Linked DNA regions of Danio rerio. The main gene of each other region encodes a partner of the protein of the gene in region 5 in a complex. Links are inferred from orthologs where the notes say so. Each region holds a gene or a part of one and is shown on either strand. Other genes may lie near its edges.

What was found.
Region 1: smarcc1a (region 5) and phf10 share a complex: the UniProt entries of both Homo sapiens proteins name them as parts of the neural progenitors-specific chromatin remodeling complex. The link is inferred for Danio rerio from reciprocal best matches to the Homo sapiens genes SMARCC1 and PHF10.
Region 2: smarcc1a (region 5) and smarcd1 share a complex: the UniProt entries of both Homo sapiens proteins name them as parts of the BAF complex. The link is inferred for Danio rerio from reciprocal best matches to the Homo sapiens genes SMARCC1 and SMARCD1.
Region 3: smarcc1a (region 5) and smarca4a share a complex: the UniProt entries of both Homo sapiens proteins name them as parts of the BAF complex. The link is inferred for Danio rerio from reciprocal best matches to the Homo sapiens genes SMARCC1 and SMARCA4.
Region 4: smarcc1a (region 5) and arid1b share a complex: the UniProt entries of both Homo sapiens proteins name them as parts of the neuron-specific chromatin remodeling complex. The link is inferred for Danio rerio from reciprocal best matches to the Homo sapiens genes SMARCC1 and ARID1B.
Region 6: smarcc1a (region 5) and arid2 share a complex: the UniProt entries of both Homo sapiens proteins name them as parts of the SWI/SNF-B (PBAF) chromatin remodeling complex. The link is inferred for Danio rerio from reciprocal best matches to the Homo sapiens genes SMARCC1 and ARID2.
Region 7: smarcc1a (region 5) and smarca2 share a complex: the UniProt entries of both Homo sapiens proteins name them as parts of the BAF complex. The link is inferred for Danio rerio from reciprocal best matches to the Homo sapiens genes SMARCC1 and SMARCA2.

What each region holds. Positions count from the first base shown.
Region 1 is NC_133188.1:6,008,459-6,012,530, reverse strand, and holds the start of phf10 (PHD finger protein 10), read right to left. Parts: upstream 2,801-4,072; 5' UTR 2,784-2,800; coding exon 2,715-2,783; intron 1,954-2,714; coding exon 1,847-1,953; intron 1-1,846. Other genes in the region: actr2b (actin-related protein 2-B), read left to right, coding at 3,258-3,305. UniProt on the Homo sapiens protein: Involved in transcription activity regulation by chromatin remodeling. Belongs to the neural progenitors-specific chromatin remodeling complex (npBAF complex) and is required for the proliferation of neural progenitors.
Region 2 is NC_133197.1:7,406,996-7,410,495, forward strand, and holds part of smarcd1 (SWI/SNF-related matrix-associated actin-dependent regulator of chromatin subfamily D member 1), read right to left. Parts: intron 3,465-3,500; exon of another isoform or gene 3,414-3,464; intron 3,173-3,413; coding exon 3,056-3,172; intron 2,932-3,055; coding exon 2,830-2,931; intron 2,677-2,829; coding exon 2,515-2,676; intron 1,322-2,514; coding exon 1,224-1,321; intron 1,144-1,223; coding exon 1,008-1,143; exon of another isoform or gene 1-1,007. UniProt on the Homo sapiens protein: Involved in transcriptional activation and repression of select genes by chromatin remodeling (alteration of DNA-nucleosome topology).
Region 3 is NC_133178.1:18,032,094-18,036,377, reverse strand, and holds the start of smarca4a (SWI/SNF related BAF chromatin remodeling complex subunit ATPase 4a), read right to left. Parts: upstream 2,801-4,284; coding exon 2,579-2,800; intron 20-2,578; coding exon 1-19. UniProt on the Homo sapiens protein: ATPase involved in transcriptional activation and repression of select genes by chromatin remodeling (alteration of DNA-nucleosome topology).
Region 4 is NC_133195.1:5,081,288-5,084,787, forward strand, and holds part of arid1b (AT-rich interactive domain-containing protein 1B), read right to left. Parts: intron 1,476-3,500; coding exon 1,348-1,475; intron 1-1,347. UniProt on the Homo sapiens protein: Involved in transcriptional activation and repression of select genes by chromatin remodeling (alteration of DNA-nucleosome topology).
Region 5 is NC_133191.1:46,885,164-46,889,263, forward strand, and holds the start of smarcc1a (SWI/SNF complex subunit SMARCC1), read right to left. Parts: upstream 2,801-4,100; 5' UTR 2,783-2,800; coding exon 2,597-2,782; intron 989-2,596; coding exon 869-988; intron 1-868. UniProt on the Homo sapiens protein: Involved in transcriptional activation and repression of select genes by chromatin remodeling (alteration of DNA-nucleosome topology).
Region 6 is NC_133179.1:1,986,170-1,989,669, reverse strand, and holds part of arid2 (AT-rich interactive domain-containing protein 2), read left to right. Parts: intron 1-1,040; coding exon 1,041-1,137; intron 1,138-1,979; coding exon 1,980-2,189; intron 2,190-3,053; coding exon 3,054-3,218; intron 3,219-3,500. UniProt on the Homo sapiens protein: Involved in transcriptional activation and repression of select genes by chromatin remodeling (alteration of DNA-nucleosome topology). Required for the stability of the SWI/SNF chromatin remodeling complex SWI/SNF-B (PBAF).
Region 7 is NC_133180.1:46,027,891-46,031,390, reverse strand, and holds part of smarca2 (probable global transcription activator SNF2L2), read right to left. Parts: intron 290-3,500; coding exon 1-289. UniProt on the Homo sapiens protein: ATPase involved in transcriptional activation and repression of select genes by chromatin remodeling (alteration of DNA-nucleosome topology).

The DNA.
Region 1 (4,072 bases), on a different chromosome or scaffold from region 5:
AACGTTTTCAGCTTTGACTATTAGATTAGACTATATCTAGATTAGATATAAACAAATGCTATTTTAAGGAAGATAATGAAACCATATTGGTATATAGAGATAAATAATCATTTGTAAAAAAAAATGTATTGAGATGGAAAGTTGGTGATTGGATGGGTGTTAGCCCTATTGGGTAGCTTTACATGGACATAGAAAATGTTTAATTTGTTAAAAAAGATTTAAGAGCTACAGCACAATACTTCAGTGAATTTAAGACTTTTTAAGACCTAAAATGTTGTTTTTGAAATTAAAGAGATTGTAAGTCTTTTTAAACCCTACAGATACCCCGGCTGTGTGCCACACTTTTTTGCGTTTCTTTGTGTTTCTGATGAGATTACGTCAAACATTGAATATAAATGCTTATTTCAGAGCACTTCACAAGACGTTTAAGTTAATATTCTTAAGATAAAATGTCTCTAAACAGAAACACAAGTGAGGAATTTCAGCCTTATGGGGGTGACATTTGCAGGAAAATTTAAGCTTAAATTCACAGAGAATATACATCATAACAGTATATCAAAACATCTTTTTCAAAACAACTATCCACAGAGTTAAGAGATTAAAATATCAAACTGTAAGCTTACATTTACATTTAGTCATTTAGCAGACGCTTTTATCCAAAGCGATTTACAAATGAGGACAAGGAAGCAATTTACACAACTATAAGAGCAACAATGAATAAGTAAGTCTGTAAAGTCTAAGAAGGAAAGTATTAGTAAAGTTTTTTTTTTTTTTTTTTGAGTACAGTTAGTGGTATATCCAGAGAGGCAATTGCAGATTAGGAAGTAAAGTGGAGACTAAATAGTTGAGTTTTTACTCGTTTTTTGAAAACAGCGAGTGACTCTGCCGTTCTGATGCAGTTAGGGAGTTCATTCCACCAACTGGGCAGATTGAATGCGAGAGTTCGGGAAAGTGATTTCTTCCCTCTTTGGGATGGAACCATGAGGCGACGTTCATTCACAGAACGCAAGTTTCTGGAGGGCACATAGATCTGCAGAAGTGAGAGCAGATAAGAAGGAGCAAAGCCAGAAATCGCTTTGTAAGCAAACATCAGAGCTTTGAATTTGATGCGAGCAGCAACTGGCAGCCAGTGCAAACGGATGAGCAGCGGAGTGACATGTGCTCTTTTAGGTTCATTAAAGACCACTCATGCTGCTGCGTTCTGGAGCAGCTGAAGAGGCTTGATAGAGTCAGCTAGAAGCCCCGCTAATAGAGAGTTGCAGTAATCCAGTTTGGAGAGAACAAGAGCTTGAATAAGGAGTTGAGCTGCATGTTCAGATAGGAAGAGTCGGATCTTTCTGATGTTATAGAGTGCGAATCTGCACGATCGAGCAGTTCTAGAAATGGGGTCAGAGAAGTTTAGTTGGTCCTCAATCGTTACTCCAATGCTTTTCACCATTTTGGATGCAGTAATGGTTGCCCCATCCATCTGGATTGAAAAGTTATGGTGTAGAGTCGGGTTGGCAGAAAGCTATTTTATACTTTAAATGTGAAAAATAAACATGCGCTATAGATGCAATATTGAAAACAATAAACAAAAAATACTGTTTGAATTTTACATTTTACAGACATTTTGTGTATTTGTACAGTACTGAAAGGTCTTCACTAATTTGGCGTAAACCTAATCTCTGCATGGAATTGCTAAAATCCTAAATATATCATATTATATTAAATAAGTTCACTTTTGAGAGAACGTCTATTTACATAAATTATTTTGAAGGGAATTTACAGACCAGTGTCAGAAAAAAAACACCTGTAACTGGTGTGTGTGTGTGTGTGTGTGTGTGTGTGTGTGTATTGTGCTGACCCGAGCTCATGGGTGGAAGTGTCACAGCTCCTGGAACTGTCTCCTGAGCCCATCCTGCGCCTCTTGGGGGCTTGACTCCCATCACTGGAGTTCTCCTCAATGTCATCCTGTTTGAAGAGAAAGTCTGTCACATAGATTTCTGTATTCGCAGGCTAACATTAAATAAATTGAGGTCAAGTTTAATATTCGCACATTTGTTCAGTGGCTAATTTTGACATGCACCACAGTGTATCCATATTCTGATGGCTACTTCCAGCAGGATGACGTGCCATGTCATAAAGTGTGAATCACCTCAGACTAACACGACAATGAGTGCACTGTACTCAAATGGCCTCCACAGACACCATATCTAAATCCAACAGAGCACCTTTGGGATGTGGTGGAACGGGAAATTCACATCATGGATAAGCAGCTGACAAATGTGCAGCAACTGTGTGATGCTATCATGTCAACATTAACTAAAATTTCTGAGGAATATTTCCAGTACCTTGTTGAATTTATGCCACGAAGGATTAAGGCAGTTCTGAAGGCATAAGGGGGTCCAACCAGGTACAAATAAGGTGTACCTAATAAAGTGGCCAGTGATTGTTTATACCATGCCAATAAACTAAAAACGACTGTTCAAAACCATCTAGATAAGTCATTGCGGGTCCACTTTTCTGTGTTAATCAATTTACGAAATATTACTCGAAATGCATGGCCTGTTCAGCTACCTCGGCTAACGTTAACAGGCTAATGGTAAACAAACAAAGGCGAATGTACGTCACACTCACGCTGAAACTGTACAGGTGTAAGTACAGTTTTACATTGCTAGAGTGATATATCTGCAGCTTCTGCTAAGAAAAAGTAGTAAGTAAACATCACAAACCTTTATAGACTGGGTCCCAGGAGTTGCAGGATTGCTATCGCACGGTCTCGGCGATAGAACAGCTGCCATGTTGTTATTCTGCGAATGAAAGGGCGTCACATTCCGGCTGGAAACTAGCACAATGGGAACGCGACAAAGTGTTCCTATCTCTAAAAACAAAAAATTGAAAACTAAATATTATTTAATTGCACGTCTATTTTGGTAACTTTTTGGGACAAGGTTTATTTTAATTACAAACTATTTAAAATGTTTTACATTTATTTTAAAATTATGTTTTGTATTAAATTTAAAAATTTATTATTTTTATTATTTTTATTTTTAATTAATTGATAAGACATTTTAAATGTTTTTTTATTTAATAAAATTTGTCAATTATAAAAAAAAAACAGCGTAGGAGGCGGGGCTTGTGTAAAAAAAACAGGCTTGTCTTCTCGCGCAACTGTCTGGAACAGGAAGTGAAACCCTGCGCTGCTGTTTGAGTGCTAGAAGCACTTTGTTGAGAAAGTTCGGCTTCCTCTGACGGCTCCTCTGGGTCTCTGAAAGATGGACAGCCAAGGAAGAAAAGTGGTGGTTTGTGATAACGGAACAGGGGTACGTCCGCAACGCTAACACGCGACGTTTGTCTTGTCGAGCTTTTATTTCGAGTGACATGATAATAAGACCGATAGACCCCTAACAGGAAGTCATGAAAGCTTAGCGCAGCTATAAAGAATGTCTGACAGCTGCTTTCTCTGCTGTGTTATCTGACTGTGGCTTTATTTCTCTGCTTTATATCCAGCTTTCATTCTGCAGCAGACTCGATATCTCATATTCTTTCGTTAGGAGAGAATCGTAGCATGGCGTTGGTTGAATTAACTGCAAATGTCGCTTCATAATACAATAATAACAACACATTGACACAAATAATCGAATTAACTGCATGACCAAACCTTCAGAGCTCATTCTTGCAGCGATATGCTAGCAGCTTTCTTGCATAACATATTATTAATATGAATTTTGCGTTGCTATGGTTACATGCCATTCCCCATTCACTGTGAATGTTGCTGCCACTTGCTTTCAAACTATTTTTGCATATTACAAGCTATGGGTGATGGCACTTCCTCATCTCTCGGTTTCAGTGGATAGGAGCTGCACTAATGTTCAGTGATGCTCAATCCTGGTTAATCATTCAATACATTCTTTGCACATTAGAATAATGCTGATATAGTGAGCTCTGGAATTTCGCTGGTTTTGTCCTGACATCACAATTTTGGCGACGTCAGCATGTTTGAAGCTCAACTCGAGGTAGAAGAAGAAGTAATGTGAATGTTTTAATAATGTATTTTTAGTAAACAAACCAAGTCAGTGAAACAGAGAAG
Region 2 (3,500 bases), on a different chromosome or scaffold from region 5:
AGTATAAACAGAAAGCATGCGTCTCGCTCGGCATTTGGTTATTGTTAGTCAACAAACGCCGGTTGTACATTAAACGCGTCGGGCAAAGAAAGCAAGAGAGGTATTTTTGTGGACAGACGACGAGGTCGAGTTGTTACCGAACGTAACAAATGAATAACTGCACAGTGGCGCCTAAAACAGACAATAGTGCAAACAACGCTCCCATTTCTGTGTCCATGTTGTTGTTTTCAGTACTAACTTCCAGTAGCATTAAAGCCATGTGTTATAGTCATGTGATAGAAACTTGACGAAGGAGGGAAGGATACGCAATGACACAAAAGCCTCAATCAGGTAGCGAATCTCAGCAGCCCCGCCTCCGTTTTCAGATGTCTCCGTTTTTCCTCATCCACACTGAAATGGAGCAGCAGCTTTTTAGAATGAAAACGGCCTCTCCAGCGTTTTCAAAACGCTCAGTTTTCGGCGCTCGAGAACTCCGGCGTAGTGTGGATGGATGGCTTAACCGTAGCAAAACTTATGCGTTTTAAAACTAAAATGCATTACTGTAAACGGGGCCTTAATGGCAAGCTGTCCAATGACAGCAGAGTTGTCTTATTTAAGAAAGGGGTTTACAGCCTAAATTTTCAAACAAACATCAAAATCATTGTAAAATGATTCTTATAATTGGCATATTCTGAGAAAATTACAATATTTTCTCAACTTAAATGCATTTAAACCTGCTGTAAGGGACTCAAACACAATATTAGGACACTTTAAAAAACAATGACAAAACATGATGGAAAGCAGAACCCTTTCTCCTGCACCACACCTCTTGTATATACAAAACAAATCTGCTCAAACATTCAGACCACTGCCAAGAGTCACTTTGATATGCAGCAGACCAAGCCACAAAACAAAAGAGCAGAAAAAAGTAACGCTTTCCCCCTGTGACGGCTCGCCAAACACTTTGAGGACTGTTTATTCAGCCAGAACAAAGACATAACTTTCCGAACATGGTGAAACTTTCGAACCTTGTTGTCGAGGCCTGCAATCTCCTGCTGACTGGCCGTGGAAAGCAGGAAAGAGTTCATCTGGGTCTTCAGGGTGTCGTCCACTTCCACGTCAATATCATAGCATGCAGTCTTCTTCTGGTCATTGGGATCAACGCTAAGAAGTAAACAGCAGTTTAGATGACGTAGCAGATAAGGAAAGATAGTGATTCTGACTAACATGTTATCAGTGGGTACCTGATGACGTGGTTGATGATGATTGGTTCTGGAGGCATCAGTAGGGCATGCAGCCGCTGAGGGATCTCAGAGAACTTCATCCTCTGGGTTTCAAAAATCTACATTGAGAAAAACAAGTGTTAATAGGTTCAAATTACACACGAAGACACGAAACTACTGGATTTTAAAGATCTACATTTGGAAGAACAGACAATTATCAGGTCCATCTAGTATAAGGTATCTAGAAAGAACCACCTGTTGATTATTGGATTTATAACATCTGGAAAAAGAACTGACAATTACAGGGTTTGTTTCAAAGCATTAAAACCACATGGTATAAATTGTTAAACTTAAAAAATTAAAAAAAAATCAGAACAAGCAGAAATAAAACAACTTCTGGAATTGTAAGACTGACAATGAGAAGAACAATTACAAGGTTACAAAAATCCAGAAAAAACAGCCAGCTATTATTGTTTACAAGTTCTGAGGAATTTAAAAAAAAAAGTAAATTGAATTTAAAACCTTTAGAATAAGAAGAACTGACAATGGGTTTTGCAAATATTTAAATAATAATAATAATAATCAGAACCAACAATATTTACACTCAGTACGCTTACATGGACACCAATAATTCGATTTTAATGCGATTAAAAGTTAAAAGCGATTTTTGATTAATTTAATCCGATTAAGGTCTTAATTGAACTAAAGAGAAATAGAATTAAGACGTGTGGAGTATGCCGATTTCAGTCGCATTATTGAAGTGCGGTACAGACATGTAAAAACCTTAATCAAACTATTACCGTCATGTAGGACTTCTCACCGGGTTTTGTGATAGGATAAAACAGTCCATAGACTAAGGCAAATAACTCGATTACTGATGTCCATGTAAACGTAGTCACTGAGAAGAACCAACCGCTGTCAAAAATCTAGAACTATCTATTATTGGTTGTACGATCTATAATAAGAATTAAAACTTAAAACGAAGATCTAAAATAAAATAAGTCAATTAATGGATTTCAAACATCTAGAATGAGAAGAATTGTAAAAGGAGTTTGTTTCAAAGACCTACACCAAGTAGAAGTGCCAATTATTAAATGAATTAAGTTGAACTATAGCCGTTCAGGATCAAATATTTTAAAGTTTAGTTTCACAGTAGTTTTTTTCTGATAATACTGAAATTTTTTACTAGTCTTTAATTATCAACTAAAGAAGTTTATAATTGTCAGACGTCACCACTTCTGTCTAAACGGGTATTTCCAGTTTAAGTCTTCATTCACTAGTTCCCATAAATAAAGTCCATGACATTCGTTACCTGCTGGAGGTATTTGTCACAGTTGATGAACTCTCGTTCATGAGGGTCCTGGAGTTTGTGGGTCTTCACATACTGCCACAAAGCCTGAATGATCACAGGCCGGGTCTGAGTGTGAATCCCCAGCAGCCGGGCCAGGCGGGGGTCCAGCTTATACTGAGGGGGCTAGAAAGAGAATGATTTCGTCCATCAGTCACATTTAATCTAAATAATATCCAGTTCAAGCATGTCTCAAGAAGAGGTGGCGCCATCTGCTGGTGATTTTTGAACAAAAATGCTAATAAACACACCATGTGCACAACTATAATTGAAGTTTACCTGGTAGTCCAGCATGAGCAGTACAGTACAGCGGACCCCAACATCCCCAGGCCTCTTGACCTGAAATCCATCTGTCTCCTGAGTTGTGGCTGTTCTGTGCCACTGTAATGAAGACAAAGATGTGAGAAATGGCACATAAGTGACAGCAGTGAGGATCTACTGGACAGCACAGCAATAAACTAAGTTTAAAGTACTATACTTGAGAAACACAATTTCTGATTCTCACCTCAACCAAATGATTGTCAGGTCCATACAAGTCTTTGTCCAACTCGATCACTAAAGACTTGAAAAAAGAAGAAAACTTCCTCTTCTGCTTGGTGGCTTCATACTTGGACACAGCGGTCTGTGATAAGAGAAAGAAATTGAGTTTATTGCCATATCAGCTTCTTTGGCTATGTCATGGCATTGGCATATGATTATAAAAATATTATAGCAATTAGAAGTCATCACCAGCAGTAAATAATACACAAGATAAAAATAAATGAACAACAATAATAATGATAATATACAAGATAAAAATCTAAAACAATTTATGGTTTCAGTCTGTGACAAAGAATTCAGTTTTACAAATAAAAATAGTGTACTTCTACAGAAACGATAAGGGGTTTGACCTAATGGGATAGCTCACCCAAAAATGAACAATTAATCATCATTTACTCGTTCAGAACAAG
Region 3 (4,284 bases), on a different chromosome or scaffold from region 5:
CATGCATGCCCTCCATGGGCTTCAGAAAAACACAAAATACAGCATGACTCAAAGATGATGACCGAACAGCAGAAAGGAAAATCAACACTGAACTAACAGATCTACACTACTAAAAGAAGCCTATTCTGCTCACAAGATAATATTTGTTTGATGGAAAATATAGTGGCAGTTGTGAAATATTAATACAATTTAGTGTGACTACTTTCTTATTAAATATAACATTACACGCATTTCATCCTGATTTTCTGAATCATTAATTCACTCTTTAGTGTCACATGATCCCTCATCATATTAGAATTAGATCTGCTGCTCAGAAAACATTTAATATATATATTATTATATATATGAATTGGAGAAAAAAAACAGCGATAGGGAGATATATTTTTTAAGTTTTTGCGTTTATCTTTATTATTTTTGCATTACCTCACAAACATGTTGTTCCACAAACACTTCCTGTTTACTTCATACATGTCAACCCCCCTAAAACAAAACCAGAGATTTATTTGTTGCTCCTAACTTGTTTGATAACAGAGGTGTCATTTTAAATGAAATGTACAGAAGCTGATCTGGGATCAGATTATCATACATCCATCAGTCAGCCCTTATATATGCATTCACTGATTCAGAATTTGCGTATGATTGATGCACAGCTTTAATGGAAAGAAAGTGAAAGCAGACGTTTTTATATTAATTAACGTGCTTTCAAGATCAAACATATGGGAGAAATACGGAAAAATACTTAATGATAGGATTATAGCGGGATAGAATGATAAAATACGGGAGAATCAATCCCAGCAAAAACTGGAGGGTTGACATGTATGAAGTGAACAGAAAGTGTTTGTTAAAACAGTTTTGCAAGGAAACACAAAAACTTAAAACATATATACTTTCCTATCTCTCCATTTTTTTTTCTCCCATCCATTCCTTCCACCATCACATCCCTTCTGGGTCTCCTTACAAAACATTCATACACACCATTCAAAAGTATTATAATATGCCTTTAATTACTTTTATTAATCAAGAACACATTAAATTGTTCAGGAACAGAAGTAATATTTAATGCAAAAAGAGAAAAATGCTGTTATTTTTAACTTTCCTTTCAACAAAGAATCCTAAAAAGCTGAACCCATCACAGATTTCTTATGTGATGCAATAAGTTTTCAAAATTGATTATTGTAAGAATCCTTAAAGACCAAGTAGCAATAATAATTGATCATAATAGAACAGCACATTGTCATATTATTATAATGATTTCTGAAGGATCATGATTTAATTATATTTTAATGACATATCAGTAGTATTGGCTATATTCATGGCAAAACCTATACTAAATAAATAAAATATAACAATCGTATCAGTTTCTTAAACATACATTGAACAAAAAACACATTAAGAGTCATATACAATATTTTAGTCTAATTAAATATAAATATTGTATTAATTCAAATAAATAAACATTTCCCTTAAAATATCTCCTGAATAAAAATGTTCTCTAATATCATTTAAAAACACACATTCTACTGAAATATGTTTTAACATAAAAATATTCTTACACAAGTCATAGATAGGTTTTTCTTCCCCTTTCGATAAATACAAGTGTGTGAGTCATGAGTGTCCGATTCTGCATCTCATGTGTACAGCCTGACCATGTGTACTTTCAAAATGCTAATTATTTATTTTATTTTCAAATGGACTAACTTAATACAAATTGTTGTTCTTTCTACATTCATTCCATTCACCATTCCGTATTAATATTCAGATTTAAAGCAGGTTTAACATCAGACAAAGGTTTGTTACTTTCAACTTCAACTGTAGGGCTTCCTTAGCTGTTTTATCTCCACGTTCATTTCCAATGAATCCCTTATGACCAGATATACAGCAAAAAAAATTATATCAAAGTCTTTTTCCTTTAAAAGGTCCACATTGACATTTTCTATTATGCTAAAAATCATAGGATGATCGGTTTTCATAGATTCAAGTGCTTGTGTGCAGGATATAGAATCTGTGCAAATTAAAAACTGGCGTTACTGTTCTTTTTCTATTTGTTCCAAAGCTACAAACAGTGCACAAGCTTCAGCTGTGAATATAGAGCTTTATCCGGCAATACTTTTTTTTTTAAAACACTCTGAACCCATCACTGATGCAGCAGATACGCGTCCATCTGAGTTTGAACCATCTGCAAACACTGGTACAAAAGATGTAGATTGCATAGTGTATTTATAAATTCTTTCTGATAAACATTTGCCTTTTTTAGTACAGAGAAAGGTGCATCACTGCATTATATTAGAAGGCTTTTTAATAAACCAAGGTGGTATAGGGCATACATGTTTGAAGGATCATGTGACACTGGAGACTGAAAGAAAATGATGATGTAAATTCAGCTTTGAATCAGAGAAATGAATTACATTTTTACATTCAATTATTTAAAATACTAATAATATTTTGCAAGTTTTCTTTTTACAATATTTTTGATAAACATATCTAGCCTTAATGAGCATGAAAAGTTTTCTTTTCATTTTTTAATTACATTAAAAACCAAACTTTTTATACAAGTGCTATTGATAAAAGCCATTAATACCTTGTGCATCTGGTGCATGTTGTCCTGCGGGTAACCTGAGGGGCCCTGTGGAGGTAGAGGGTGTCCCGAAGAGGGGGGCCCAGGGCTGGGGCCCATCATGCCATGGGCAGAGCCAGGTGAGGGTCCAGGACTAGGCCCTAACATGGCCCCAGGAGACGGCCCAGGGCCTGGGGAAGGTCCCGGCCGAGGGGTCCCGCCCATGGGTGGGTCAGGAGTGGACATCTCTCAGCAGAGCCAGAAGTGAGAGGCAGAAACACAGTGTTCTGGATTCTCAGAAAGCCTGGAAAAACACATTCATTTTATTCCAGAACTTAGCCATGATTAACATTTCTTAAAATGCATAAATGAATTACATGTTTAACACAAATAGAAATATTTTGATTTACTAATGACTTACAAGAAAAAAAACTTTCTTATAAGCTCACGCTTTTCATGTATGGTGATTTAGTGTCTGCATAAAAGTGTATCCGTCATTAAGCATTGAAAGTAAATTAATGTAATTAAAAGTGGTAACTTCAATATAAGGTATAGTCAAATTTAAATAAAATACCTGAACTCTCACATTTATTTAAATGTATTAAAAAAAGATGCTGTGGTTAAATTCTTTCATTTTAAATCATTAACACTTTTCTGCTGACAAATCCTAGAGAGACGTTAGGAGGGCTTGCTGCAAAACTGCTAGCCTGACATTCATTGGTTATTATGTTTTCCAGTCAAGCTACCAAAAATGAATCCATCCTGCCTGTCGGGCTATCTTAACAGGAGAAAAAACATAGCCCATTTCAATACTTTTGCATTCTTTCATAGATTGTGTAATTATGCTGTATGTAATTTTCATGCATTGGGGTCCCACCATCAATAAATGTTTGAATTCGTATTTGCACTAATGGATTTTGTCAAAATAGCCGGTACTTTGGTACAAAGTTGATTTAAAAAAATTTAAATAAAGGTACCAGGTGACCTACCAGATTGTCGCATGATTGTTTTTCAGGGACAATTACAAAATGAAAAGAAAAAAAAAAATAATAATAAATGAAATGGTCATTTTCAAAAAAATAAAATAAAAATGTAAACGTAAATTTATAATTATATGTAGCCTATAATGAAAGCACTATAATAACTTTGTTATTTAGTAAACGTGTAAATGTATATATTTCTATTTATTTAGTAAATAATACATTTTCAATTCAGGCTACTTGAATTTAAATCAGGCTGACAAAAACTGAAGAGTGCCAGCCCGAAATGCTACCAGAAGTTTTGCAAGCCCTCAAACCAAGGTATCAAAATTTTAAATCAGCAATTAATTAATATTTTAAGGCTGCACTCTTATGCTCAGACTATTTTAAATGTCATTAACCAATTCTTGATCAGAATATGCCTGTTTAATTATTTTTATAGATATATAATAATAAAACTGCATTATACTTTGATTCTTAAAAACACTTATAGCGACCACCACCATGAAAATACAGCACTAATTTGACATCTTAAGATCTGATCTCATCCTAATGCCCTGAAAGCTCATCTGTAAAAAATTATAGCATCATAGCAGCTACAGAATGAAGCCAGTTATAGCTGCAATATAAAAGAACTTAAAATGGGCCACGAGTCTGGGTTAATTAATTTCTGCCTTAATGTGTGCCAATGAAAACATTAACCAGTTTAATGAAGGGGCTTTCTTCCAAAAATTGTATCCAGGTTGCTTA
Region 4 (3,500 bases), on a different chromosome or scaffold from region 5:
GGAGATTCAGACCCTTAGTCCTGCACCATCCAGAGATGTGCACAACATCTCATCAACAGCCTCCAAACAAAGACACTGTATACTGTAACTGATCTCAAGCTGAACCGCATTAAGCACTTTTTTTCCTCAATAAATGCTGCCAAATCTATAATCTCACACTTTCTGAATTAAATTTTAGATTTAAATAATACCGTTATAATGTCATTACTTTATGGTATTTTACTCAATCAGGGGTGCATTACCAATATTAGCCAACTAAGATTGCAAATTTCATCATTACAAACATAGTTTGGCGATTCTGTTCTGATTCTCCATGAAGTTGGCGTGGACCAACGCACATTCTCACGTTCATTTCATCGTTAGTAAATCCAAACATGAGCGTGAAATCTGGCGTACGTTAGAGCTGCACGATTCTGGCTAAAATGAGAATAGCGATTTTTTTGCTTAAAATAAAGATCACGATTTTCTCACGATTCTGTAGATGTAAAATAAAGGTAAAGACAAACATATGGCACAACATCGATAATAATATTATGTGTGGGTCTACTGACTTCTATAAATAATTCTATTCTACTCATAATAACTCTGATGTTGAATTATTATGTTTGAGATATAGGCATGCAATCTGTCATATTAGACAATTTTATTCACTGGTAAAATCAGACATTTGCCATTATCAGATTATAGGTCACAAAACTGCAAGAAGTAAAGCATTTATTAACATACATAGTGTCCATTAGTATGTGCCTGAATAATAAGATATATAAACATCAATTTCAATAGTTCATTAATCATTTACTAACTCATTCTGAATGCTCTTAAAAACCTCCAACTACTCGTAAATACAAATGGTTTGTAAAAATAATGCAGTAATGAAAAATCAACCAGTCACAAATTATGAAAGTACAATTATTAAGCACATTATAAAAGTGGTTATAAGTCAAGAACACAGCATTTGCAGATGCAGTTATAAACTAAGATTGAATTAAAAATAATAAAAAAAAAATATAAAAAAAAAAAATATATATATATATATATATATATATATATATATATATATATATATATATATATATATATATATATAAAACAATCATATCAAGATTTAGTACTTTAGTATATAAAGATTTAATTACTTTATCTAAAGAAGTTGTTACTCCACAAGCTTTGCATTTTAACTAATGTGGTTCAGACTACAGATTTCCGACAGAGTTCGAGAAACTACATCGACTATACACTGTTTTTTTGTTTTTTATGTATGCTTTAAAAGCAACATTACACAAAAAATAAATTACATATAAAAAAGGTATAATAGGACCCTTTTAAATATTGTATTTTAAATCCTACCTGTGGGCATTGTGTTGTAGGAGGGACCTTGAGGGGTCATCCTGGCAGAGCTATTGCTCGGTGGAAGGCTGTAAGGCCCTCCGGGACCCATTCCAAGCATGTGGGAGCCACCTTGATACCCGGCTGGCCTATGGACGAAAAAAACACATAAGAACAAAAACACAAACAAAATGTAAAGGGTTCAATGGTAAGTTGTTAGTACACTTATTTTCATTTCTTCTTTCTTTCAGCTGCCAAGCAACACATGCAGAATCCGCAGAGAGAGAGAGTTAAAGGATTAATACACATGGGGAAAGAAACAGATTCCTGCATTGTTTGTAGTCTGTCTTCTCATAAATGAGACAGTAGTAGAATCTACATGTCTACTAAGGTTAGATGTCATGGCTTTTACATGTTTTCAACTATCAAATCGCAGCTTCCACTACGAACATCACCAATTATTAATTATTAAAATGTTGTTGCCAACAAAGCAGTTGCCGAGATTCACCTTTCAAGTTCCACAGATAAAAGTAAGAGCACACAGATTTGGAAAGACTCAAAGATTAAATAGGACTGTACATTTCCTTGTTTTGGGGTGAACTACTTCATATTTGGGTCAATCCACTAAATCTACACTTTTCTTACTTTTAGTTATTGTCTTGTATTTAGTCCAAAAATCATCAAAAATGCTTAAATCAAGAAGCATTTCTTTAGATAAGTAAAAAATATTGGGTCTCATTCACTAGCCATGAGTACGCACAAATAGGCCTGTCATGATATCTATTTTTTGTTGTACTGTACAGTGCATCCGGAAAGTATTGATGGTGCTTCACTTTTTCCACATTTTTTATGCTACAGCCTTATAAAAATATAGGTTAAATTCATTTTTTTAACATTCTACATACAATACCCCATAATGACAGTGTGAGAAAAGAGTTTTTGAAATTGTTGCACATTTATTACAAGTAAAAAAGCTGAAAAATCAGATGTACATCAGTATTCACAGCCGTTGCTCACTACTTTGTTGATGCACCTTTGGCAGCGATTACAGCCTCAAGTCTTTTTGAATATGATGCCACAAGCTTGGCACACCTGTCTTTGGGAATTTGTGCCCATTCCTCTTCGCAGTACCTCTCAAGCTCTATCAGGTTGGATGGAAAGCGACGGTGTACAGCCATTTTCAGATCTCTCCAGAGATGTTCAATAGGATTTAGGTCTGGGCTCTGGTTGGGCCACTTAAGGACATTCACTGAGTTGTTGTGAAGCCACTCCATTGGTATTTTGGCGGTGTGCTTTGGTCCATTGTCCTGCTGGAAGATGAACCGTCGTCCCAATCTGAGGTCAAGAGCACTCTAAAGCAGGTTTTCATGCAGGATGTCTCTGTACCTTGCTGCATTCATCTTTCCCTCTATCCTGATTAGTCTTCCAGTTCCTGCTGCTGAAAAACATCCCCACAGCATAATGCTGCCACCACCATGCTTCACTGTAGGAATGGTATTAGCCTGGTGATGAGCGATACCTGCTTTTCTCCAAACGTAACGCCTGGCATTCAAGAGTTCAATATTAGTCTCATCAGACCAGAGAGTTTTGTTTCTTATGGTCTGAGAGTCCTTTAGATGCCTTTTGGCAAATTCCAGGCGTTGAGTGGCTTCTGTCTGGCCACTCTACCATACAGGCCTGATTGGTGGACTGCTGCACAGATGGTTGTCCTTCTGTAAGGTTCTCCTCTCTCCACAGAAGAACGCTGGAGCTCAGACAGAGTGACCATCGGGTTATTGATCACCTCCCTGACTAAGGCCTTTCTCCTCCGATCACTCAGCTTAGATGGCCGGCCAGCTATAGGAAGAGTCCTGGTGGTTCCAAACATCTTCCACTTATAGATGATGGAGGTCGCTGTGCTCATTGGAACTTTCAGAGCAGCAGGAATTTCCCCGGACGGTCCTGTCTCAGAGGTCTACAGACAATTCCTTTGTCTTCATGCTTGGTTTGTGCTTTGACATGCACTGTCAACCCTGGGACCTTATATAGACAGGTGTATGCCTTTTCAAATCATGTCCAGTCAACTGAATTTACCACAGGTGAACTCAATTAAGCTGCTGAAACATCTCAAGAATGATCAGTGGAGACAGAATGTACCTGAGCTCAATTTAGAGCTTCACCGCAAAGGCTGTGAA
Region 5 (4,100 bases):
ATAAGGCACAACGCTTGCAAATGCTTAACCAATGAATACTTGTTCAGTCTGTTTGGGCTGGTTTTGATGTGTGCATTTATTTGTTACGATAGAGTTTGTCGACATGCATTGATCATACAGTTTTTTATGACGCTGTTTTAAGTGTTGGAACAGATTTGTAGGATTGCTCAGTTTTGCCGTAAAAAACGTTTCACAAGTCTTACAAATGACCTTGCTCTGTGACACATTGTCTCTCCTGAATCTTAAATTCTCCCAAACAACTGATGTTGAATTTCTCTTTGGCACCAAATAACTTTTATTCTGACCTGCACCCGTATTTTATGTTCTTTCCTCACGCTCAACTTCGTTGTGTGCGGAGTGAGCTGGTTAACATCTTTCTCCAGCTCAGCTTAGCTGTATTTGCGTGGTGCACAATGTCAGCTGATTGGTTAACATTAAAATCATGCACACAAGAACGTATTCTGTATAAAAATCTAAATAAATTAATAGATTAAAAATTGCATGCGCTTAAATCACGATTTTTTTGTGATTGCGATTAATTGTACAGTCCTAGTTGTGACATTTCAAGTTGTGTTATTCTTTAATAACAAGTCATCAAACATTTGGGTGCTGTGATCTAACTCTTTGTTGTTTCAGGCAAACACAGCTAGTCATCTTTTGTTACCTACAGTTACTGAATGAATTAAAAATTAAACTTTAAGAGAAATCTGGTATTGATATTACTGTGCATTTGTGTCTGTGTTCATCTTTTGCTTTGTTTTGAAGTGGTTGTAATGCAAAAGCTTTATAAGATAAGGAGCTAATATTATTATACTACAGATGACAACACTTACTGAAAGCTAAAACAATACTGCAAATCCAGACTTACAGGTAGTTTGGTGAGGGCAGGATTGCTGACTCTACGTCCAAATGCATCCTCTTGAAACTGCAGCAATTGCACCACCAGTGCAGCCAATGTTTTGCTTGTAGGAGAGTCAGTCTGGACATGCTGCAGAAAAAAACAAGTCCTATTAAACACAAGCAATTCAACTAAGAAACAAAGCATTTGACTTTTCCAGTGAAATCATTACACCTGGAAGTAACAATACATGTAAAACATACTATCTCCAGTCAATACATGCTTCTGCAATTCTTGGATAACACAGTGAAGTAATTAAATGATCTAATGAACAATTATGACTTAAATAAACAAGCATGTTTTAGCTTTAGGTACACATCAAAACTAAATAATTCAACTAAACATAATGCCATTGTAAATCTTTTTTAGTAAAGCATTTAAACAGTGCATCACATAACTGTAGGACAGTTAAATTGAACTCTTCAAATGCGTTCTTTCACATTACAGTAATATCTTGAGCAAATAAATTATAAATAGCATCTATGCAAATTATTTTCTTTGTTCTCTATTTCTAGATTGTGGAGTGCCACTCGATCAGATCAAAGACATGAAAAGAGATGCCAATCCTGTGAGGACTTGAAGAGATGATGCCAACCATCAGAGATCTTCAACGACAACAAAGACTTAAGACACAAGTACACTTCATCGAACATGTATTATTATCATCCTTATTATTAATGTAAATATTGATTATTTTGTAAAAAATAAATCACCATATAACTGCATGTTAACCATGTTTATACACTGCCAACTGTTTACACAACTCATTAACTATTCTGATTTTAACTGTAATGCCTTTTGTGAAGCTACTTTGGGAAGATAATTGTAAGCGCTATACAAGTAATCTTGAATCTAAGTGAACACTGTGTCATTTGTGACAACTTGAATCACCTTGTAAATACCAAGATGAAATACTTTCACAGGTAAATACACAGCTATATATTTATGAGATTTACATAATCACTGTTCCATGGCACTTCTGTTAAAACAATATTAGATAGTTCGCCCAAAATTTATATTCACTCACGCTCAATTGGTTCCAAACCTTTGTAAGTTTCTTCTGCTGAACACCAAAGATGATAATTACTTTTAAGAACCTGTAAGCATTCACTTTCATAGTAGTAAAAACAAATACCATGGAAGTCAATTGTCACAGGTTTTTAGAATTCTTCGAAATATCTTCTTACGTGGTTTACTGAAGAGAGAAAATCATAAAGGTTTGAAACAAGTGGTGAGTAAAGGATGTCAGAATTTTCATTATTGGGTGAACTATCCCTTTAAAGGTTCAGTAAACAAACTTCTGCATAAACAACTGATACATTGTGGTGCTAAATACATTAAGAACGAATGGAAGACACAGTTTTAATAAAGCAAGTACAAATAAGACGAACATAAACACGGCAGTTAAGCAGATTTTAAGACATATCCTCATCATGGCAGATCTCAGTCAGCAACGTTAGCGCGCGAGCTAACTCAACAACCCACAACACTGCCGCTTAAAACAACACAACAGCTAAACTTGCCGACTAAAACGCCAGTACGGATGCTGAACACAATCTGCACGACTGCTCTGGTTCGACCCTGTCAAACAACCGACAATAATTGCGAATAAACAACAAGAAATCGCGCGTGCCGCTTCTTGTAGCTATTGTGTGATGCGCGCGCCCCCATTCAACGGGCGCCTCATGAGCAGCAGACCTTCTTATAATGTTTCCCGATCCACAAGCGAACTGTCTCCAACTGGGACACCGTTTCCGAGCTCTCCCAATACTTGGAAGATGGCCCTCCGTCTTTTTTACGTCCGATCGAGGAACCGGCGCCCGTTTGGCCGGCAGATGGTCCTCCGGAGCCCGTTCCGCCCGCTGCAGTCGCCGCTGTCGCCATTGTTTCTTTATTAGCGATAGAGGCTAGTCCGTGGAAAATGTTTAAAACAGCACTGCGTCTGCGCAACGCCGACACAGGAGTCGTTGCTCGAAGGAGATCTCGCGAGAGCTCATCATTGCGCGTTAGAGACCAGTCGAGACGTAAATAAAAATAAAATAAAAATAAAATAAAATAAAATAAAATAAAATAAAATAAAATAAAATAAAATAAAATAAAATAAAATAAAATAAAATAAATATCCAACTAAAGAATCAAAATAATAAAATATTTAAATAATATGATGATTACTAGTTTAGAGCTGGTTTACACTCTAATGCAGTATGCAATTGTAAGTACGCTTAGGAATCGAATTTACCAAAATCTTACAAATACATGAGATACTTAGATATTTATATTATTTTAAAGAATTTTTTAAGAATTTCAGATGTTTTAGATATTAACGAAAATTGATTGAGTTATTTTTATATTACATTATTTTATATAGTATTATATTTATGCATATAACTAATCCATTTTTATGATTTAAATAAATGATTTAACACAATTCTCGGAAGCTATGGAATTAAAAAAAATTATATATATATATATATATATATATATATATATATATATATATATATATATATATATATATATATATATATATATATATATATATATATATATATAGTATAATATAATAATATAATATTTTTGTACATCATGCAAATAAAAAAGGCAAAATGTAGCATATTTTGTAGCCATGAGAAAGTTTTCATGTGTAATTCCACCGCTGAACATCATAAGTCGCTGTAGACAATGAATTTGTCCTTGGGAAAGACTTTTATGTAGGTCTACTGCTATATTTATTTATTTTCCCTTTTTCTTTCTTATTTTCGCATTTATTACTTTTTTATTACTTTTTAAATAGTTTTTTTTTTTTTTTTTTTTACTTTTTTTACTTTACTTTACTTTACTTTACTTTCATTCTTTCGAGTTAAAAATAACATATATTTTTACAGAAAGAAAAAATTGTGCCATCTAGTGCTTAAACAGGGTTTTACACTTTGAGAGTCTGGATCAGGTCTATGGTCTGGATGCAGACTCTGCAGTTGAAATCTGCAAGGCACACAGCATACAGCAAAGTTGGCCTACATCTTGACCCACATTTAAAATACATTTTTATTCATTTCAAATAAGGAAAACAATTCTACCATTCAGGTTGCTTTGAGAAAAAGCACGCCTTTAGCACACCTAAAACGCAACGATTCATTGATTTATCCATTTCATTGCAGTCATGACACAAAAACACATCTGGCTTAGTTCAAGCTCAGTTATG
Region 6 (3,500 bases), on a different chromosome or scaffold from region 5:
GACTCGTGATCCAAAGACGACTTGCCATATATAAACAACGGCTCCAACTAAATTATTTATTAACATAAGATTACCAGCAAAACAATACCAAATGATAAGAGATGGGGAGCTCAACAACATAATAAATAACCAGCAAATAAACTTAAAGCAGATTGGAACTCCCGACACCAAACAAATATTAAAAGGAAAGTATAAACGAGAACACGACTATAAAGCTGTCAAAAACTGTGGTTGCGCAATAGCTTGGTGGTTAGCGCGCTGACAAATGGTGCAGTAGCTCGTCAGGGCGTCCAGAGTTTGAATCCCGGCTCGAGGACATTTCCCTACCCTACCCCCTTTTTCTCTCTCTCTCTCCAACTTCGCTTCCTGTCTCAATACTGTCCTATCTAATAATGGCATAAAGGCCAAAATAAATCTTTGAAAAAAACTGATGGCATGGAGGAATGAGGGATCGCGAGAAGTCTGCTTCTGTCCGTTTTAAAGGCCTGACGCTGCCAAATTAACCATTAGAAAACTGAAAGGGGCAAAAAGACAAACAAGATCAATTGAAAGTAATGGAACAAAGACTTTTATAATCGTGACATGACACATCGTGAATGTGGAGATTTTATGCATGCTTATAACAACTGTCATTTAGTGTCGTTCGCTCTGTTATGACATTTTAAATGCACAGGTGATGTGCAAAATACATCACAACCTGTTTTTGTCATGACAACTTGACAGAGTCTATGTTTTTTACCTTATTTTTATTTAACTTTATTTTTACCTTAATTCAGAATGTTTTTTGCTATTTATGCACATTATATATAAAAATAAAGAGCGTAGCTCTGCTTTTAAACAAAAATACAACATTTTTAACAAAAAAAAAAAAACAGCATTTTCATTTTCCAGATTATTTATGTGTCTGCTAATATGACTAATGCTTAAAGCATTTTAGTCTGTTTTAAGCAAAAATAATCCCTGCAATATTTTACAGACTGTTTATTAACTGTTTGTCAGATCTTTAAGTAATAGTTGTCTTTCTGGATTGTTTGTTTCAGCTTCAGCTGGATCCGGTTGATTTCCGAACAACGCATCTGATGTTTCACACCATCACCAAATGCTTATTGTCACGGGATCGTTTTCTCAAAATGAGGGGTGAGTGTTTTAAAGCAAACATTTGTGCAGTCAGAACTGCTGTTTTCCTTTTGGAATTGCTTAAAGGGATAGTTCACCCAAACGACTTGCCCACTATTTACTTGCTTCAAGCCTATAGAGATTAAAAGGCACCTATTATGCATAAATCCCTTTTATAAATGGTTTAAACGCAGTTGTGTAGAAGCAGTCTGTGAAAATAACCGGCTTCCAATGATCAACATTTATTATTTTTAGATTTTATAATCACTCTTGATGAAAACAGTCTGCAGAAACACTTTGATTGACATTCTCCCTTTGTACGTGTCATCAAAGGGGGAAGCCTTTAGTGACCATCTCCCTCATTAGCATAGAATGTTAGTCTTGTTTTTGAGTCTGCCACTATACTGATGCACATGCATTTATAGCTCCGCCCTCTTTTGAAAAAATCTGATTTGAATTTAAAGAGACGGTCACAAAAGTGGCACAATTAGGTTCAAAGCCTAAAAGGGGCAGTTTCTAAAGTTATAAAACATTATTAGTGTGGTATTTGAGCTGACACATAAGACTCTCTAGGGACATCAGAGACTTACTTTACATTTTGTAAAAAGGGACATAACAGAAGAAACACATGAAGATATTCTGATGAAACTAGAAATCTGTAACCATTGACATCTATAGTGTTTGTTTTTCTTACTATGGATGTCAATGGTTACAAGTTTCCATCATTCATCAATATAAATAATTTGTGTTCAGCAGAATAAAGAAACACCTAAGGTTTATAACCACTTGAGGGAGATTAAATAGTGATTACAACTTCATTTTTGAGTGAACTATCCCTTTAAGATGTTCATTGCATCCTACAGCCATGGAAATCCTGGGGAACCTGAGCAAAGTGGAGGATAACGGTGTGCTGATCTGCGAGTATGTGGATCAGGAGTCATACCGAGAAATCATTGCTCTTCTGACGCTGCCGGACGTCATGCTGGTCATCTCTGCGCTGGAGGTCCTGTATCAGCTGGCTGAGCTCGGAGAGATAACCTGCTCCAAAATCTCCTCCGTGGAGAGAAGCATAGGTTTGTGTTCAGCTAAAAAATTCAGTCTGCCGCTAGCTGCGTTTCCATCCACCTATTTTTATGCACATTTTGGAATATGGGAAATAAAATGCCAAGATGCACATAAATTGTCAAAATGTGCATAAAAAACTATGTATATTATATCATAATATATTAAATAAGATTAAATCAGATTAAAATATATTATATTATTTTAAATTATATTATTATATTATATTAAATTATATTATTTTAAATTATATTATTATTATCATTATTATATTATATTAAATTATATAAAACTATATTATAATAAATTATATTATTATTATATTTAATTATATTATTATATAAAATTATATTAAATTAAATTATATTAAAGTATTTCATATTATATTAAATTACATTATAAATTATATTTAAATTATATTATTATTATATTTAATTATATTATATTAAATTAAATTATATTATAATAAAGTTTATTATTATTATATAAAATTATATTAAATTAAATTATATTGTATTATAACAAATTATATTATTATTATATTTAATTATATTATATTAAATTAAATTATATTATAATAAAGTTTATTATTATTATTATTATTATTATTATTATATAAAATTATATTAAATTAAATTATATCATATATTATAATAAATTATATTATTATTATTATATTAAAATAATTTTATATTATATAATGTTATTATATTATACTATATAACAGGAAAGCGAATAATTTTGACTACTTTTTAACTGTAGGTCAATATTATGATAATACTATATATCTTGATAAAAGCTTCAGGAATTAATTGCAACAAGAACATTTGATACTACCAGAACCAAGTGAACTGATCAGTTTTTCACATGTGAAGATCTTTTAGTACGGCTGGTCTCGGTGGACCTGCAGACATTCGGACCGGATGCACTGACGGCAGTGAAACTGATCGAGCATCAGGCCTCCAGCTCTCAGGTGTCCGAGGTTCGACCGCAGCTCGTAGAGCATGTTCCTGCAGCTACGCAAGGCACTCCTGCTGCTGGTGAGTCGACTGTGTACACTTGCTACTTCTGTACAACCGGGTTATTCAACATAATGCATGCACATGTCAGAAGGATTGATATATATGGTGGCAGAGAGAGCTTAACGTGCTGCAACTTACGAAAACTCATGCAATAACCAAGAAATGCCTGCAAAGTAAGCGAAGATCCTTACTATTTTGACTGTATGTGTGTTGCGAATCATCACAATGTCACATGCACAGAACACAACAGAAATAGACCCAAAAATGTGGCAATTACCAGCACTGAAAATAATACTATAT
Region 7 (3,500 bases), on a different chromosome or scaffold from region 5:
ATGGTGGGAAGGCTCCTCTTGCCCTGCACAGCTAACTGTAGGTTTTCAGGCAGAGGTTGGCCTCGTCCCAGAATCTTGTACGCCAGGATCTGAGCCCTGAGTTGCTGTAGCTGGACTGGGCTGAAGGCAGACTGACCCCTGGCCTGCTGTCCCATCCCCTGCGGATCCATTGGCATCATGGGCGACTGACCCTGGGACATTTGTGGCGGGGTCGGCCCTCCTCCTGACATGGGGCTAGGCACATGCTCCGGCACCTGGCCCATCGGTGAAGGGTGAGGCGACATGTATCCTAAAAAGCAAAAGAGGAAAAGATGTATTCTGTAGAAATGATGCGACGTGCTGTCGAATTTATCAGTTTTTCTTTTGCTTTGATTCTCTAGTATGGATTCACAATATATCTTGGCGGCTATATTGTTATCGGCCGATAGATTTTTTATTTTTTTTTTTTATGTTATCGGTCCGGTCTCAAAATTAGGCTGATATCTTTATGCCAATAAATTATGTAATTGTACTGAACTGCCTGCCTCACACATGCGTGGGTTGAACTTGTTCAGACATTTTGAGTGCACTATAACGAGCTTTCCTCACATTAAGAATTTCTTCAAAGCCCGTCCTTTCTTTGTGTGGTATTGCTGTGCATTAACATCTCAGTAAGTAACCATATTCCTTATCATTGCAGATTATTTGACTGAGTGTAATTATGTATTTTGGTTTAAAACACCACAGAAAAAATATTACATATGTAAGCATAATAGCAGCGATGCACACATGCTAAACAACTCGTTGGGTTGTTTGTAATATATTTTAATTATTTGTTATTAGCAACGCATTGCTTGCAATTTGTTGTTGATGTAAGACTGTATACAGTTTGATCTGCATATTTGTAATGATTAAAACGAGCGCACATGATGGCTATCAGCACGGCGCACACACACATAGTGAGCCGACATAGACATGAATCCAGCATAGTGGTTCTCAACCAAATTCTATATAATTTTACAAGTCTCTATATAATGCACTGTGTTTGTCATTAAGTTATCAGTGCTCAGGTGTGGTGTCAAAATGTGACTCAGAGGACAAATTTGACTATGATAAATCTGAAGGTTTATCAAAAACCTTTCAATGATCATTATTCCAGCAATTGACAAAGCATGAACATAGAAGTGTTGTCTGATTGACAAGCAGCAGCTACATGTTCAAATGAATCTAAAACTCCAAATGGGACAAATTTATGCCGCATTTTCTAAAATAATACTATCTGTATTAAGCTTTTCGCTTGTACAGTGGCTTTGAACTATCAAAACATCTCTCAGAGCGCTTTTCCGGACATTACATATTTGGACATATGTACATTACTGTAACATGTTTTATTTAAGAATATTTGAGCTGGTTTTAGTTCTTAATTTTTTTTACATTTATTTTAATTTTATTTAAATTATATATTTTACTTGTCTGTTATTTAAATCCAATTTTGTCATTTAATCTATTATTTTTATGCAACAGTCAAGTTGCATGTTCATTTGCTATAAAGAAAAGGAAATGATTTATTTTTGGTATGCTGATTTCTGTGAGGGGTGTCGAGGTGGCACAGTAGGTAGCAAGATCGTCTCACAGCAAGAAGGTCACTGGTTCGAGCCCCGGCTGAGTCAGTTTGTATTTCTGTGTGGAGTTTGCATGTTCTAACCATATTTGCGTGGGTTTCCTCCGGGTGCTCCGGTTTCCCACACAGTCCAAAAGCATGCGATATGGGTGAACTGAATAAGCTAAAATAGATGTAGTGTATGTGTGAATGAAAGAGTGTATGGGTGTTTCCCAGTGTTAGACTGCAGCTGGAAGGGCATCCGCTGCGTAAAACATATGCTGGATAAGTTGGCAGTTCATTCCATTGTGGCGACCCTGATTAATAAAGGGACTAAGCCGAAAAGAAACTGAATGAATGAATGATTTATGTGAAATGGTGAATATAAGTCTAATCACCTTGCAATATTTATAACATTTAGTAAATAGTTATAAATAATATTTAGAAAAATATTTATATTTATCGGCTAATATCAGTTATGGACATCCAAATCTTAAGAGTTATCGGTTATCGATAACGGACTAAAAATTTGTCAGTGCATCCCTATTCTCTAGTTTTTGCGTTTTGTATTTTTATGTGCACACATTTTAAGGTATGCAGTCATGATTGCCACTACTTGGTGACATAATACTTTGAGTGGATATATGGAAGCTTCACAAGAGGGAGAAAATATTCCCGACAGAAAACTTGCTCATGAACAGCACATGTTGGTCACAAATATGATACCAACAGTAAGCTGCTTGGTTTTAGAATGTTTTCATGCTTGTAGTTTAGTTCTCTTGGTTCAGTCGGCCTATTAAATTAATGGAAAAACTGTTTGTTCGTTGTTGTTTTTTTCTGATTATAAGTATAAAGAAATATGTACAACATTGTTGTATCACAAAAACAACATAAAAAAACATCTATAAACATAAAAAGCAATTTGCCAAGAGAATATGCATTACAGCCTTATCTGACGTATTCCATCATTGTATAAAAAACAACCTAAAATTTCCATAACTCCTCCATCGGAAATTTCTTGGCAAAAAAATAAAATAAAATATCCATTTAGTTCTGGTTTTCTTACAGTTCATAATGTTATTTTTAAGGCATAACACAAAGGAAAACACTTTTAGAACATGTAATTGTTTTACATGATATTCATTAATTTTCCTTCGGCTTAGTCCCTTTATTAATCTGGGGTCGCCACAGCAAAATGAACCACCAACTTATCCAGCATATGTTTTATGCAGTGGATGCCTTTCCAGCCACAACCCAACATTTGGAAACATACCCACTCTTTCACACTCATACAGCACGGCCAATTTAGCCTACCCTATTCACCAATAGCGCATGTCTTTGGACTTGTGGGGGAAACCGGAACACCTGGAGAAAATCCATGCTAACACAGGGAAAACATACAAACACAGAGACACACAGAAATGCAAACTGACCCCCCTAGGGCTAGAACCAGCGACCTTCTTGCTGTGAGGCGATCATGCTAACCACTGCACCACATTGACACCTATCATGACATATATATGAAGGGTTCAGATTCAAAAACCTCTAAATGCCATGTTCTGCTAAAATGAGCATTTTTTCCAGCCTTCTATGTTTATATTCTCGTTTAAGTCAATGAAAATAACTCATTCATCATTTTAACAGTAAAATTACAGAGCCTGCACATAGGAGTCGGAGAAAATCGTTATTTTCAGTAGAAAACGGCCTTTAGAGGTTTTTGCATCTAAACTCTTCATATGTTTTTTAATTTAATTTACCAAACATCTAAGCCAGGGGTCACCAATCTTGGTCCTGAGGAGCTGGTGTACCTGCAGGGTTTAGCTCCAACTTGCCTCAACACACCTGCCTGGATGTTTCAAGTATACCTAGCAAGACCTTGATTAGCTTGTTCAGGTGTGTCTGATTAGGGTTGGAGCTAAAA